Linked DNA regions of Diceros bicornis minor. The protein of the gene in region 2 interacts with the protein of the main gene of each other region in a pairwise test. Links are inferred from orthologs where the notes say so. Each region holds a gene or a part of one and is shown on either strand. Other genes may lie near its edges. The genes, in order: CDKN2C, NIF3L1 and NATD1.

Region 1 (3,744 bases), on a different chromosome or scaffold from region 2:
TATTTAATTGGTGGCATTGCTATCATCACCGGTAAACCACCAGGTCGAAAAAGAAAAAAATTCCTTTCCCCACTTAATCTACCTGAAATAACAAGATAAATAATTTAGTATCTATGCATAAGCTCCCTTAATACTGAAGCTTTTGCAAGGTTGGTGTATTCTGATTTTAAAATGTACAGACTGTATAGACTTCATCTGTTAATAGTATATCTTCTGACACTTAAATTTCTAATTCTTGTAACTAAAACAAAGCACTCTAAAAACCCTTTCCCCAATGGATTTTCAAAAACAGTTTCAAGTGTTGCATTTCCGAATAAGAATAGCTCATAAGAATATCATCAGAACTCTGATAAAGCAACTATTTGAGACTACTTTGCCATTTTTCTGTTTCTATGCCTTTCAACTAAGTTACATCATAGCATTCAGAGGAGGAAAAAATATTATCAGGTATAATACTTGGCAGCTGGACATGTTTCATTTGTTTCTTGTAAATCTAATTACTGAAAATTAGAACATACCACGGCATGACCGCAGAGACAAAAACACTACAAGCTGAGCTCCGATTAGAAAATTCAACTTTTTATTCCTCCTCAATCCTGAATGGGTGGATGGTATTACATTAACTGTGAAATGTACATCCTGTCCCCGTGCCCAGGCCACCCATTCCAAACGAGGAAAGGTCGTTTGTCAAAACTTGAAGCATTTGAAGGAAAAACACCCTCGCCAGTAGTCAAGAAAATTAACGTTAAAGTCAATTATTGGAGCAAAGTACGGAAACCACTAATAGCAGTGTATTTACTTCAAATAATAATCATAATAATGTGTTTACAGAGCTGTCTAAAAAAAAAAAAACCCAAAAAACTCGGCTCTACTACGACTACTTGAACATCCCCACCGTCACAAAAACATTCCAAAAATTAAGACCAAACCTGGAACCCACTTGATATCGAGGATGTTACTGGATTTGACGAGTTTGTTCAAAGTACGTCATTTTAGGGAGTTGGACCCACTTAAAGATATAAAATATGGCAACCAACTAGATTTAAAAACAGTGAAATTTTGTACCCTTGAAAGCTTAAAAGCTGTTATTCTAGAAACCCGGGTCACGTAGGCAACATTGTTGACCTGTTTTCCCCACCTCGCTGGATACCAACCTGCAGCGCAGTCCTTCCAAATCCATTTTGTGCATTGACGTTTACATTATTTTGCAACAAACTAGTAAGTTGCTCTAGGTCCCCCCTGGCAGCTGCGGACGCCAACTCGTTCCCCCAAGGCTCGGCCATTCTTTAGGGTCCTGACGATCGGGAAAAGATGAATTAGTTGTTTTTCTTTTTCCCCTTTCCTTTGCTCCTAACCAGGCTGCATGATGGCATCGGAGACTGACAGAACGACTGGGATGGTTAATCTGGAGTAGAGCTTGGTAGTAAATACTAGTAAGATCTGCCTGCCAAAAGCCCGCCCCTCGATTCACACGTGATTATTCAGCAAAACTGAGCCATTGGAGAGGGGCTCCGCTCCTCGCTTTTTAGCTTAACCCCTATGAAGAATTCTGGTGATTCAACAGAGAGACACACAGACACACATATATTCCTGGTAAATTACTCTGGGTAAAATGTAGGCAGAGCTGTCACGTACCTACGCTACAGACCTCTGTGAGGAATGTGCGCGGAGACTTAAGGGACTAGATCACGGCATAAAATACCGCGGAAGAAAAGACAGTTGGGGGGAAGAAAAGGTATTAACCCACCCTTGTTCACGGTGGTGACTTGAGCCGCGACAGCCAGAACTGCAGGGGCAGGTCCTCGGAGGGGCTCGGTGTCCATCCGTCTCGCCGAAGGGGTAGTCCTGAGTCCTCCGCTGCAGGGAGAGCGCCGCAAAGGCTGGATGCTGACGTGCTTCGGAGGGTTAAAGACGATCGCCAAAGGCAAACGAGAGTAGCAGTTCCGTGGCCCTCAAGTTACAGGTTGTAACGACTCCTCAGTGGCCTCGGCTTCTCCGGAGGAGGCTTTATTCGCGTCCGGGCCGAGCCGAGGGCTAACGCCGCGCGGGAAGGCTCCGGAGCCCGCCCGCCGCGCTGCCGCAGCCCCGCCGAGCCTCGGAGGCCGTGGGAGCCAGGCTCGGCGCGCGTCTCCGGAGACAGCCGGGCGCGCGGCGGGCCCCCGGCAAGCCGGTCATGCCGGCCCCACCGGGTCCCGGGACTCCCAGCAGCGTGAGGAAGGGGAGAGCGATGCGGGAAGCGTCTACGGGGCCCGGGCTGCTGCGGCAGCGCGCGGCAGCATCGCGGCTGCACAGGGCAGCCCACCGGTAACTTCCCGCCTACGACCGAGCCAGTTCAGACTTCCTACTGTAGACGCTCATTGAGCTGCCGCCGCTGTCTTTTCCTTCCTTTCCCGGTTTTCTGAGGGCCTCCGGAGATCGGGAGGGTCCTGGGAAGCGCAGGCCAACCTCTCAGTATGGGGAGTCGCCACAATCCCAGGGCGCAGCCAGTCCCGCTGCCCTCTCGCAGAGAGCCCAGGGGCTTCGGCGCCCGGTGCCACTTCGCCAACCTCTCGCGGTCCCCTGGCCTGTGCCCCCAGCCTACGCCGCCGACAGGGCAGCGGCCGCCAGCCAGCTGTGCCCTGGAGCCGAGCGGGGCAGCACTGCTTCCTCCCGAGCCGCAGCGCTCCCAGTGACAGTTTCTTTTGTAGCCGGTCCCCCCAAATCGCCGGTCCCTGCTCCCTTCAACCCTACAGACACTTGCGCGTCGTCCCCCTTTCTGCTCTTTTCCTTCCCTCCCTCCCTTGCTTCTTTTTACGCTCAAACAATTGCTGCTTCTGTTGCCGCTGCAGAGACGGTGCCGGTTTCTTCTCCCTTTTTTCCGACCTCATCAGCTTTTTTTGAAAAGAAAAAAATTGAGCGCTTTTTGAGTTGAAAAACCCGCCCCCATTTTAACGGCAGAGTTTTAAGGAGGCTCGGCGGAGTTGCAGCGCCGCGGGAGCGGGAAGGCCGGGCGCCGCCCACGCCCCGCCCTCCGCCCTGGTGGCGCTCTCGCTCGCCGCCTCGCGCGCCCCGCCCCCCGCCCCGCACCCTTTCTCCCGCCTCCCCGCTCCCTGCCTCCCTCCTCGCGTCTCTTGCGCCGGTTCCCACCCGCCAGCCCCGCGGCCAGGCCCCAGCTGGGGCGGCGTTCGGCCCCGCAGAGCCGGGTTTGGCCTCCTCGGGCTGGCGGGCGGGATGGAATCTGCGACGCGAAACCCCGGGCTGCCCCGGGCCCGGCGGGGGCGGGGGTGAGGGGAAGAGACTTGTTAATTAAGACGGCTGCGGAGAACCGCAGGGCCTTAGAGGCTCGGCGGCGCTGGCTGCTTGAAGGCGGAGAGCGAGCTGGCGCAAAGCGATCTTCCCCCGGCGCTGGCGGGGCAGGCCGGCCCGCCTCCGCGCTCCCCCGCTAGGCTCTCCAAGTTCGGGCGGCCAGGCCTACGCTGCTGCCGCCTCCTGTGGGGCGCGCGCTGTGTACGCTCGGCCTCCTTCTCTCAGCCCCGGGCCTCGGCCTCGCACCTGCCAGATCAACGTCCAGGGCCGCGGTGGGCAGAGGTGGCCGTGGGGCTGGAGGGCGAGACCCGGACTGAGCAAGAATGGTGCTCAGAAAAAGCAGAAGTCTTTTATAGACCGATTTTTACGAAAACTAGAGAGATGATTTACGTAAGAAATCATGACGAACTCTGAAGCCTTAATGTTCCAGAGACTCCAAACTGTGAAATATTCCATTTC
Region 2 (3,744 bases):
ATAAAAAATTTAAAAGTAATTTTGCTTATTTCTGTTTTGCTTAGAATCATTTTACACTGTATGCTTCTACAGCTTATCATTTTTCCATCTTGCCATTGAAATTTCCATGCAGTTTTATTTCCCTTGGCTGACCTTCTAAAAATTACTTATACTGAAAGACATTCATAAGAATTCCATAAAACTGGGCCGGCCCAGTGGCTTAGTGGTTGGGTGCGCGTGCTCTGCTGCTGGCGGCCCGGGGTGGGATCCCGGGTGCGCACCGATGCACCGCTTCTCCGGCCATGCTGAGGCCGCGTCCCATATGCAGCAACTAGACGGATGTGCCGCTATGACATACAACTATCTACTGGGGCTTTGGGGAGAAAAAAATAAATAAAAAATCTTTAAAAAAAAAAAAAAAGAATTCCATAAAACTTACCATTTTTCTTCTTGATGGTTTCAGGAAGCACTGTTATGTAATTTTTCAGTCTTATCGAGAGAAGTTCGAAAATGAGTCTCTATTCCCAAAAGAAAAAAAATTAAGTTCACCTTCTCTGAACTCACACATGCTCATCTTGACTGCATATTTAAAAGAAAAAGTCTTGAGAGCACCCCCCAAGTAATAAAAATACGGCTATGCAAGTGATGAGGAGCTCCTACCAGACTCAAGCCCCTCAATCGCCTACTTCTGCTCACTCTCCTTCAGGATCCTCCTGCAATCCCCGACAAGCCAGGGACATCCCCGCCCTGGGGTCTGCGCGCTGGGCGTCCCCGCCGCCCGGAACGCTGCCGCTCGAACACCTCTACGGCTGCCTTCCTCACCGCCAAGCCTGCCCAAGAGTCAGGTCTCCCTGGCCCGACAACTCGATTCAAAACTGCCTCCACCCTAGTTCCTGCCCTGTGTCCTTTTCCCACAGCACTTACACTAATACAACACACGCTCGATTAAGTCTGTCCTTTCAACAACGCCTCCCCGCCCAGAATGCTCACTCAAGCAGCCCAAGAACTCACACACACAGCGCTCAGCACGGGTCTGAATAAGCGAATGAAAGAATGAGCGACGTTACCGCGTACTTACTTAACCACTTCGGTTAGCACAGTTGTTAAAAACTTAAAACGACGCCCGCACGGGTCTGTAGACTCGAAATTAGTTTCTTCGGGTCACCGGAAGTCGAGTACGGGACCCACTAGAGAGAACGCCGCTCACCTGCTCGCCTCCTTCTCCCTCCCCGCTCCTCCTTATCTCAAAACAAAAGGACTAGACCTAGAGAGACAATGTCATTTATCCGCACCTGGAACACTTTCGACAGTGAAAGGGAACTCTTCTAATAATTACATGAGGACAAGAACCGTAACCTGGAACTATTCTGGGCAACCTTCAGAAGCGTCGTGGGCTCAGACGTAAAACGGGAAGAGCACTTCCGGCCGCTTGTCCCTCAGTTTATTCCCACACGCCAGGAGGTTCCGCGCGGGACCGGACGTGACGCACGAGAAGCGCGCCCGGGGCCGGTGAGTCGGGTGATCTTGGTTCCCGCGTGGGTGTCCGAGGCCGTCGAGGCCGGCGCGATTCATGCGGGCTGTGGCTGTCAGAGAGGTGCTGCAGCGGAGACGGGGGCGGAAAACTGGCTCCCCGCGCGGGAGCGCAGGGCACCTGTGGGGCAGCGGCCCTGCCTCGGGCTTACCTGTGCCACCGGGGCTCTTCGTTGTCCTGGAAGAGGCCTGAAGGGGGACTGAAATGAGGTAGATGAGGGGAGAGGGTGCAGTTTGCAGGCTGTAAAAGGGGCCCCACTAATGTTACTTAACGTTAACAGTCAGTGCTGGCTCTAGGCCAGGCATTGTTTCCGGCTGCCCGGATACTCTCGCGACAGCGCCGTGGGCTGGGTACTCTCCATCCTTCAGCGGCGGAAACCGCCGAGGTTAAGTGATGAGTTGCGCAGCTGTGGCCTTGGGAGGCAGTCTGGTTTTGGAGTCGGTGCTCTTACCCACCATGCTATGCCGCCTCCCGTTGTTGTTAATTGTGGCTTCAAGCTGCGCCGCGTCCCAGTTTCCTAATCTGTGAAGTGGTGCGTGTTCTCTTCTTGCTAGGGGCTCTTTCGGGTAGGACAGTAGATAACTCAGATTCTCTAGTGGGCGTGGCGGCCCACTAGAGCCTCACTTTGGCGCTTGCCATATTTAGAAGAGTCTGGAGAGTGGAGTAGTGTCAGGACGGGGAATCTGGAGAGTGGAAGTGGTATAAGGACCATTAGAAGACCTCTCAAGACCCCAGGCTCGAGTGGGTTTGGAGGCTCCACGTCACAAATCATATATTGAATAAGTACATCTCGTATTAACTATTTTGGCTGTAGAACTGTTGGAAAAAATTTGCTTTTGAAATCATTGGGCTATGAGTATTTCATTAAATTTACAATTGGCTGTGCTGTCTTGCTAATTATTGTGCATACTGTGAAATGCTTTTCTTCAAAAACAGAAATCTTCATGGATACTAAATGGGAGAGTGGTGTTGACAGTGCTGTCTTTTGGATTGGATGTAGATGTCTGAAAGGCTTGCAGACCATGTGGGCAAAGTGCCCTACACCGCTGCCTCTCCCACCTCTTGAGCCTGGCCTTCCTGTAACGGTTGGTTCCGGGGCAGCAGCCTTGCTGCCCATTGGTGACATGACCCACCTATGCATCCCGTGACTCTGGCTGCTGATAAAGCACTTAACTTTTGAAAAATATTTTATTGTTTTTTTGGTAAAACATTTTTTAATGGCAATATATACCACCCTAACTCCAAATTCTGCTGAGGTGGGGGAGGGGGAGTGTCAGTCTGTTTAGCAAGCGTTTAGTGCTGGCCTGTGTTGCTGACACTGAGATGTATAAAAGCTAGTTCCTGTTCTCTGGTAGCTTTAGCAGACTGGGGGAGACAGAGGAGCAGAAATATAACATTCTGAGAATACCAGGGCAGAGGGCAGTGAGGTGGGGAGCCACTGAAAAGGAAGGTTTGTCAAGAAAAGCTTTATTTAGGAAGTTGAGGGGGACTTGGAAAGAAGGGTAGTATTTAAAGAAATGGAGAAGAGAGGAGGGTAGTTGAAGCAAGGGTGGGGCTGGGGAGGAGGGAATGAACACTTGTGTGTTATGTACCAGGTTTGTGCTAGGTGACTTACACATATTAATCCATTTGCTCCGCTGATGGCCTGTGAGGTTATGGTGTCTCCCTTTTGTAGATGAGAAAACAAGCTCAGAGAGATTAAATGACTTAGCTAAGATTCCACCTGCTAGTAAGTGGCAGAGCCAGTATTTGAACCCATGTATGTGTGACTACAGCGCTTTTGCCTGTATGCTTTGCTGCCTCAAAGGTCCGGGCCTAAGGTGTACAGGTGTACCACTGTCTGTGTTTTGACTCCAGATACTCAGCTTTACCTGATTCCTGTATGTTGTCATCTTGTGTACGCCTGGTCCCCACGGCAGTTCGGCTGGTCGGTTCCCTGGTCTGCAGTTCTTCCCGTTCCTTCATGGATTTGAAGGCTCTCCTTTCCTCCTTGAATGACTTTGCATCCCTATCATTTGCTGAGAGTTGGGACAATGTTGGATTACTGGTGGAACCAAGCCCACCACACACTGTAAACACACTCCTCCTGACCAATGACTTGACCGAGGAAGTGATGGAGGAGGCGCTGCAGAAGAAGGCAGATCTCATTCTCTCTTACCACCCACCTATCTTCAGACCCCTGAAGCGCGTGACCTGGAAAACCTGGAAGGAGCGCCTGGTGATCCGGGCTCTGG
Region 3 (3,744 bases), on a different chromosome or scaffold from region 2:
TCACTTAAATGCCACCTTCCCAGGGCGGCCCTCCTGGACACCTGACTCTCAACAGCAGCCCTTTCCCGACATGCTCTCCGCCTGCCCTGCTCTATTTCTTGCCAGGCCCTTGTCTCCTAGGACCCTTTACACTCTATTCATTGTCACCGCCCCTCCAGACTGTCATCCCATGAGTCCCCAGCACCGAGAACAATGCTTGGCACACAGCGGGTGCTCGGCAAGGACTGTGGAGTGAATCCCAGCTCTCCCGCCTGCGAGGCGCGGGGCCCTGCGTGTGTCAGTCACATCTCCGTGCCTCAGTCTCCCCATCTGTAACACTGGAGGGGCAGTTCCCTTCCCCCCGGCAACACCATGAGGATACAGTAAGTGCCTCTCTGTGCAGGGTGCCTGCCTGGGACACGACAGGGACTCAGTGAATGCAGCTGCTCCGACGCCTCCCCTCACTGCTACCGGGCGCTCACCAGCCTCGCTCTGCCATGGGAGGGCCGGGCACACGTCTGCACCAGGAGCCCTAGGGCCACTTCTCCCCTCTGCCTCAGTGTTCATTTCTCAGTGGACACCATGAGCCGGCCCCCAGGGCTAACCCTGCAGTTCAGGAGACACTCTCACAGGCTGTTCCCCTCCCCAGCTGAGGCAGAGTGGGGCCCAGACACAGACGGGCCCTCTCCTGCCCCGCAACATACACACTCGGACTGGGCCCAGCCTAGGCCACACAGTCCCTGCCTTGCCGGCTGGGGAGGAGCTGGTGGCCTCGCGCTGCTCCCTGGGCTTGGCTGGGGATCCCCGGTCCACTTTCTAGTTAGCCATCTGGGCAGTAGGTTCTGGAAGGGGACAAGTTTAGGAATATGGCTGGCACGTCTAGCCCCGACCACAGTCAATTCTAGAGGGGTGTCCTTTGGCTCTAGCCATTTGGAAGAGAAAGCAAGAAAACTCCAAACATTCCCTTTTTCTTCTGTCTCGGTGAGTGTATAGGGCCTCCTGAACCCCCATGGGAACCAGAGCCTCTTTGGAACCTGAGAAGAGAGGATTTGAAAATCCACGAGGCCCCTCCCCACAAGAGTGGCCAGCGCCCTTAGTGTCACGGCCAGCTGGGCCACGGCCCACACCATGGTGGCAGAAGGACTTGCTTGAGTTCTAGCTCTGGCACTTCATGATACGGCAAATCACTTCTTCCCTGTGGTGCAAGCCTCAGTTTACTCACTTGTCACGTGGGGGGCTGATGCCCACACCACAAGGATGTTGTAATAGGGACGTGCTGAGGCCCAGCCCAATGCCCAGCACAGCGCAGACAGGGCTCTGAGAAATGTCCTTGCCCTGGGCCCCAGCCCTCCTGCTTGTGTCCAAGTGCAGGTCCCAGGAGCCCAGATCCAGGAGTCAGAGCCGCCGGCCCCTACCCCAGCTCTGCCCCGGCTCACTGCCTGGCCTCAGCAAGCCTCTCCTTTTCCTGGGCCCCTGCCTTCCCTTCTCAGAAATGGGCACAGTGGCCTCTGAGGGCTCTTGCCGCCTGGACCTGCCACAGGGGGCCCAGATGGGTGAGAAGAAAGTCATTAATGCAGAAGGTGTGGGATACGGGGAATTCACGGGCCTCCATTGTATAACTCTGTTTTCTATGCCCCAGACCTCTTAGGGTGAGGAGGCATGGGCTAGTAGGCGGCAGAACCTTCCTTTACAGGAAACGTCTTGACTTGGCTTGCTGGTTTCGAAAATAACGACCAGTGCATGTTTATCTGCGCTGACAAGCGCGGCGGGCGCTGTTCTAAGTCTCCACTCTGATCTCCGCAGGCACCCGCACAAGCAGCCAGGCGGTCTGCACCGGGGATGGGGGGCTTCGCAGACTAGGGTGGAGGCGCTGGGGCTCGCGGGGAGGACACGACTTGGCCGCAGCCTCGGCCGCGGGGTGTGACGCGACGCCAGTCCCTCCACACCGGCAGCCCCTCTCTCCAGCAGCCCCAGGGCTGCCCGGGGGTCTCCCCCAGCCCCTCCGTGCAGAGACCCCAGGTTCCCAGGGGCGGCGAGCAGCCGGGTAGCAGCCGCGAGGGCAGCGGGGTCAGGCTGGCCGCCCCCCGGGGTCTCAGCCCCCGCCGCGTCCACCCCGCGGCGGGGGGGCACGCGGGGCGGGCAGGCGCGGGGGCTCGCGCGGGGGCCGGCGCGCCCCCCCGCCGCCGCCTCCCGGGCCCCCGCCCGAGCCCCCGGCGCGGACAAAGGCCGGGCGGTTACCGTTGAGGCGGACGGAGAACTGGCGGCGCCGCCGGTCGTGCTCCACGCGGACGGGGCAGCCCTGCTCCGGCGGCCCGGCGCCCCCCGGCTGCGCCATCGCGACCCCTCGGGCGGGCGGGGGCCCGAGACCGCGGGCGGCGGCGCGGACCGACCCCCGGCGGCGGCGACAACACGAGGCGGGGCCGGAAGCCAGCTGTGCGGTCACGTGCCGCCCCGTGGGGACACATCCCGTCCGCTCTTAAAGGGGCCGCGCCTCCGTGGGGACAGCCCGTCCGCTCTTAAAGGGGCCGCGCCTCGCGGCTCCGAACAGAACACTCCCTGCGCCGGCGCCCGGGCCGCTGCGTCCTCTTGCATTTGACCCACGGGCGACTTTGGGGCCCCCACACGGACACGTTCTCAAGATGTCACGACCTGTAGTGAAATTCTAATCATCCCTTCGCGGCCACCATTGATTGAGCGCTTGCTGTGTGTATGGCCTCTGCACGGCAAAGCCCTGGAGAGCCACAGGAGGGGCTCATGGAGGCCCCCCTGCGCTCAGCGAAGATTCTCCTCACCAGCCCGAGAAACAGGCATGCCCAACTCTGCTTTACGGATGAGGAAAGAAAGGCCCCGGGCAGGCAGAGATGTTCGTGAGGGCACACACGGTGGGGCCCTGGGAGGATGGGGCTGCGGATCCCACCGTGCGCAGCTGAGGCTGCTGAGGAGGGGGTCCCCGAGGAGCCGTCTGGGTTGGGGGTGAATGCCACCACTTCCAAAAGAGGCCGAAGTGCAGGAAGAGGCCTTGCAGATCCCTGGATCCACTCCACAGATGGGGAAATCAAGTCCCAAGAGGGCCAGGGACTTGCTTGAGGACACACAGGGCTTTCGGGAGCCCAAACCTGTTTTCTGAAAGGAGACTTGACCAGCACCCCCACCCCCATGGAATCACATGACTGTAGCTTACTTTTCCCTGGTTTGTTAATGAAGGTGTAAGCTCAACATTCACTGCCGTGTGAGGATCACCCAAATCAAGATAGGGGACATGTGTGCTTCCCTCAGCCTCTTCCAGGCAGTGCCCCACCCCTGGAGGTAACCACTCTCCTGGACTTCTAGCATCATTGCCTAACTCGCTTTTTCTAGAACTCCGTGTAAACAGAATCGTATAGTATGTACTTTAGTGTGCCGTTTCTTCTGGTCAACACTTCACCTGTGAGATTCATCCGTGTCGTTGCTTCTTTGTCATCACTGAATAGTCTTGTCGTGTGCTTACACCAGGGTCGATGTATCTACCACCTGTGGATGGGCCTTTGGGCTGTGTCTGGGTTTGCCTGCCGTGGACCATCTGGAGCACTCTGTTGGGGTCTGTAGCATAGACCCCTCTTGGGCGGCCCAGGAGTGGATTGTGGGGTCTCAGTAGCTGTACCTTGAGTTTTATGAGATGTTGCCAGGTCTTCTTCCAGAGTGGTTGTCCCGTTTTACACTCAGCACTGTGGCCGACCCCGTTGAGTGGCAAGTTCGGTGATGTCGGTCTCTCAGTCTTGTTCATTT

Evidence for each region.
Region 1: the proteins of NIF3L1 (region 2) and CDKN2C interact in binary tests that used the Homo sapiens proteins (3 or more experiments, as listed by UniProt). The two-hybrid records come from large-scale screens. The link is inferred for Diceros bicornis minor from reciprocal best matches to the Homo sapiens genes NIF3L1 and CDKN2C.
Region 3: the proteins of NIF3L1 (region 2) and NATD1 interact in binary tests that used the Homo sapiens proteins (3 or more experiments, as listed by UniProt). The two-hybrid records come from large-scale screens. The link is inferred for Diceros bicornis minor from reciprocal best matches to the Homo sapiens genes NIF3L1 and NATD1.

Annotation. Positions count from the first base shown.
Region 1 is NC_080752.1:13,411,486-13,415,229, reverse strand, and holds the start of CDKN2C (cyclin-dependent kinase 4 inhibitor C), read right to left. Parts: upstream 2,967-3,744; 5' UTR 1,748-2,966; intron 1,295-1,747; 5' UTR 1,284-1,294; coding exon 1,155-1,283; intron 1-1,154. UniProt on the Homo sapiens protein: Interacts strongly with CDK6, weakly with CDK4. Inhibits cell growth and proliferation with a correlated dependence on endogenous retinoblastoma protein RB.
Region 2 is NC_080749.1:78,812,559-78,816,302, forward strand, and holds the start of NIF3L1 (NIF3-like protein 1), read left to right. Parts: upstream 1-1,493; 5' UTR 1,494-1,714; coding exon 1,715-1,719; intron 1,720-3,367; coding exon 3,368-3,744. Other genes in the region: PPIL3 (peptidyl-prolyl cis-trans isomerase-like 3), read right to left, coding at 419-421. UniProt on the Homo sapiens protein: May function as a transcriptional corepressor through its interaction with COPS2, negatively regulating the expression of genes involved in neuronal differentiation.
Region 3 is NC_080757.1:232,364-236,107, reverse strand, and holds the start of NATD1 (protein NATD1), read right to left. Parts: upstream 2,353-3,744; 5' UTR 2,315-2,352; coding exon 2,218-2,314; intron 1-2,217.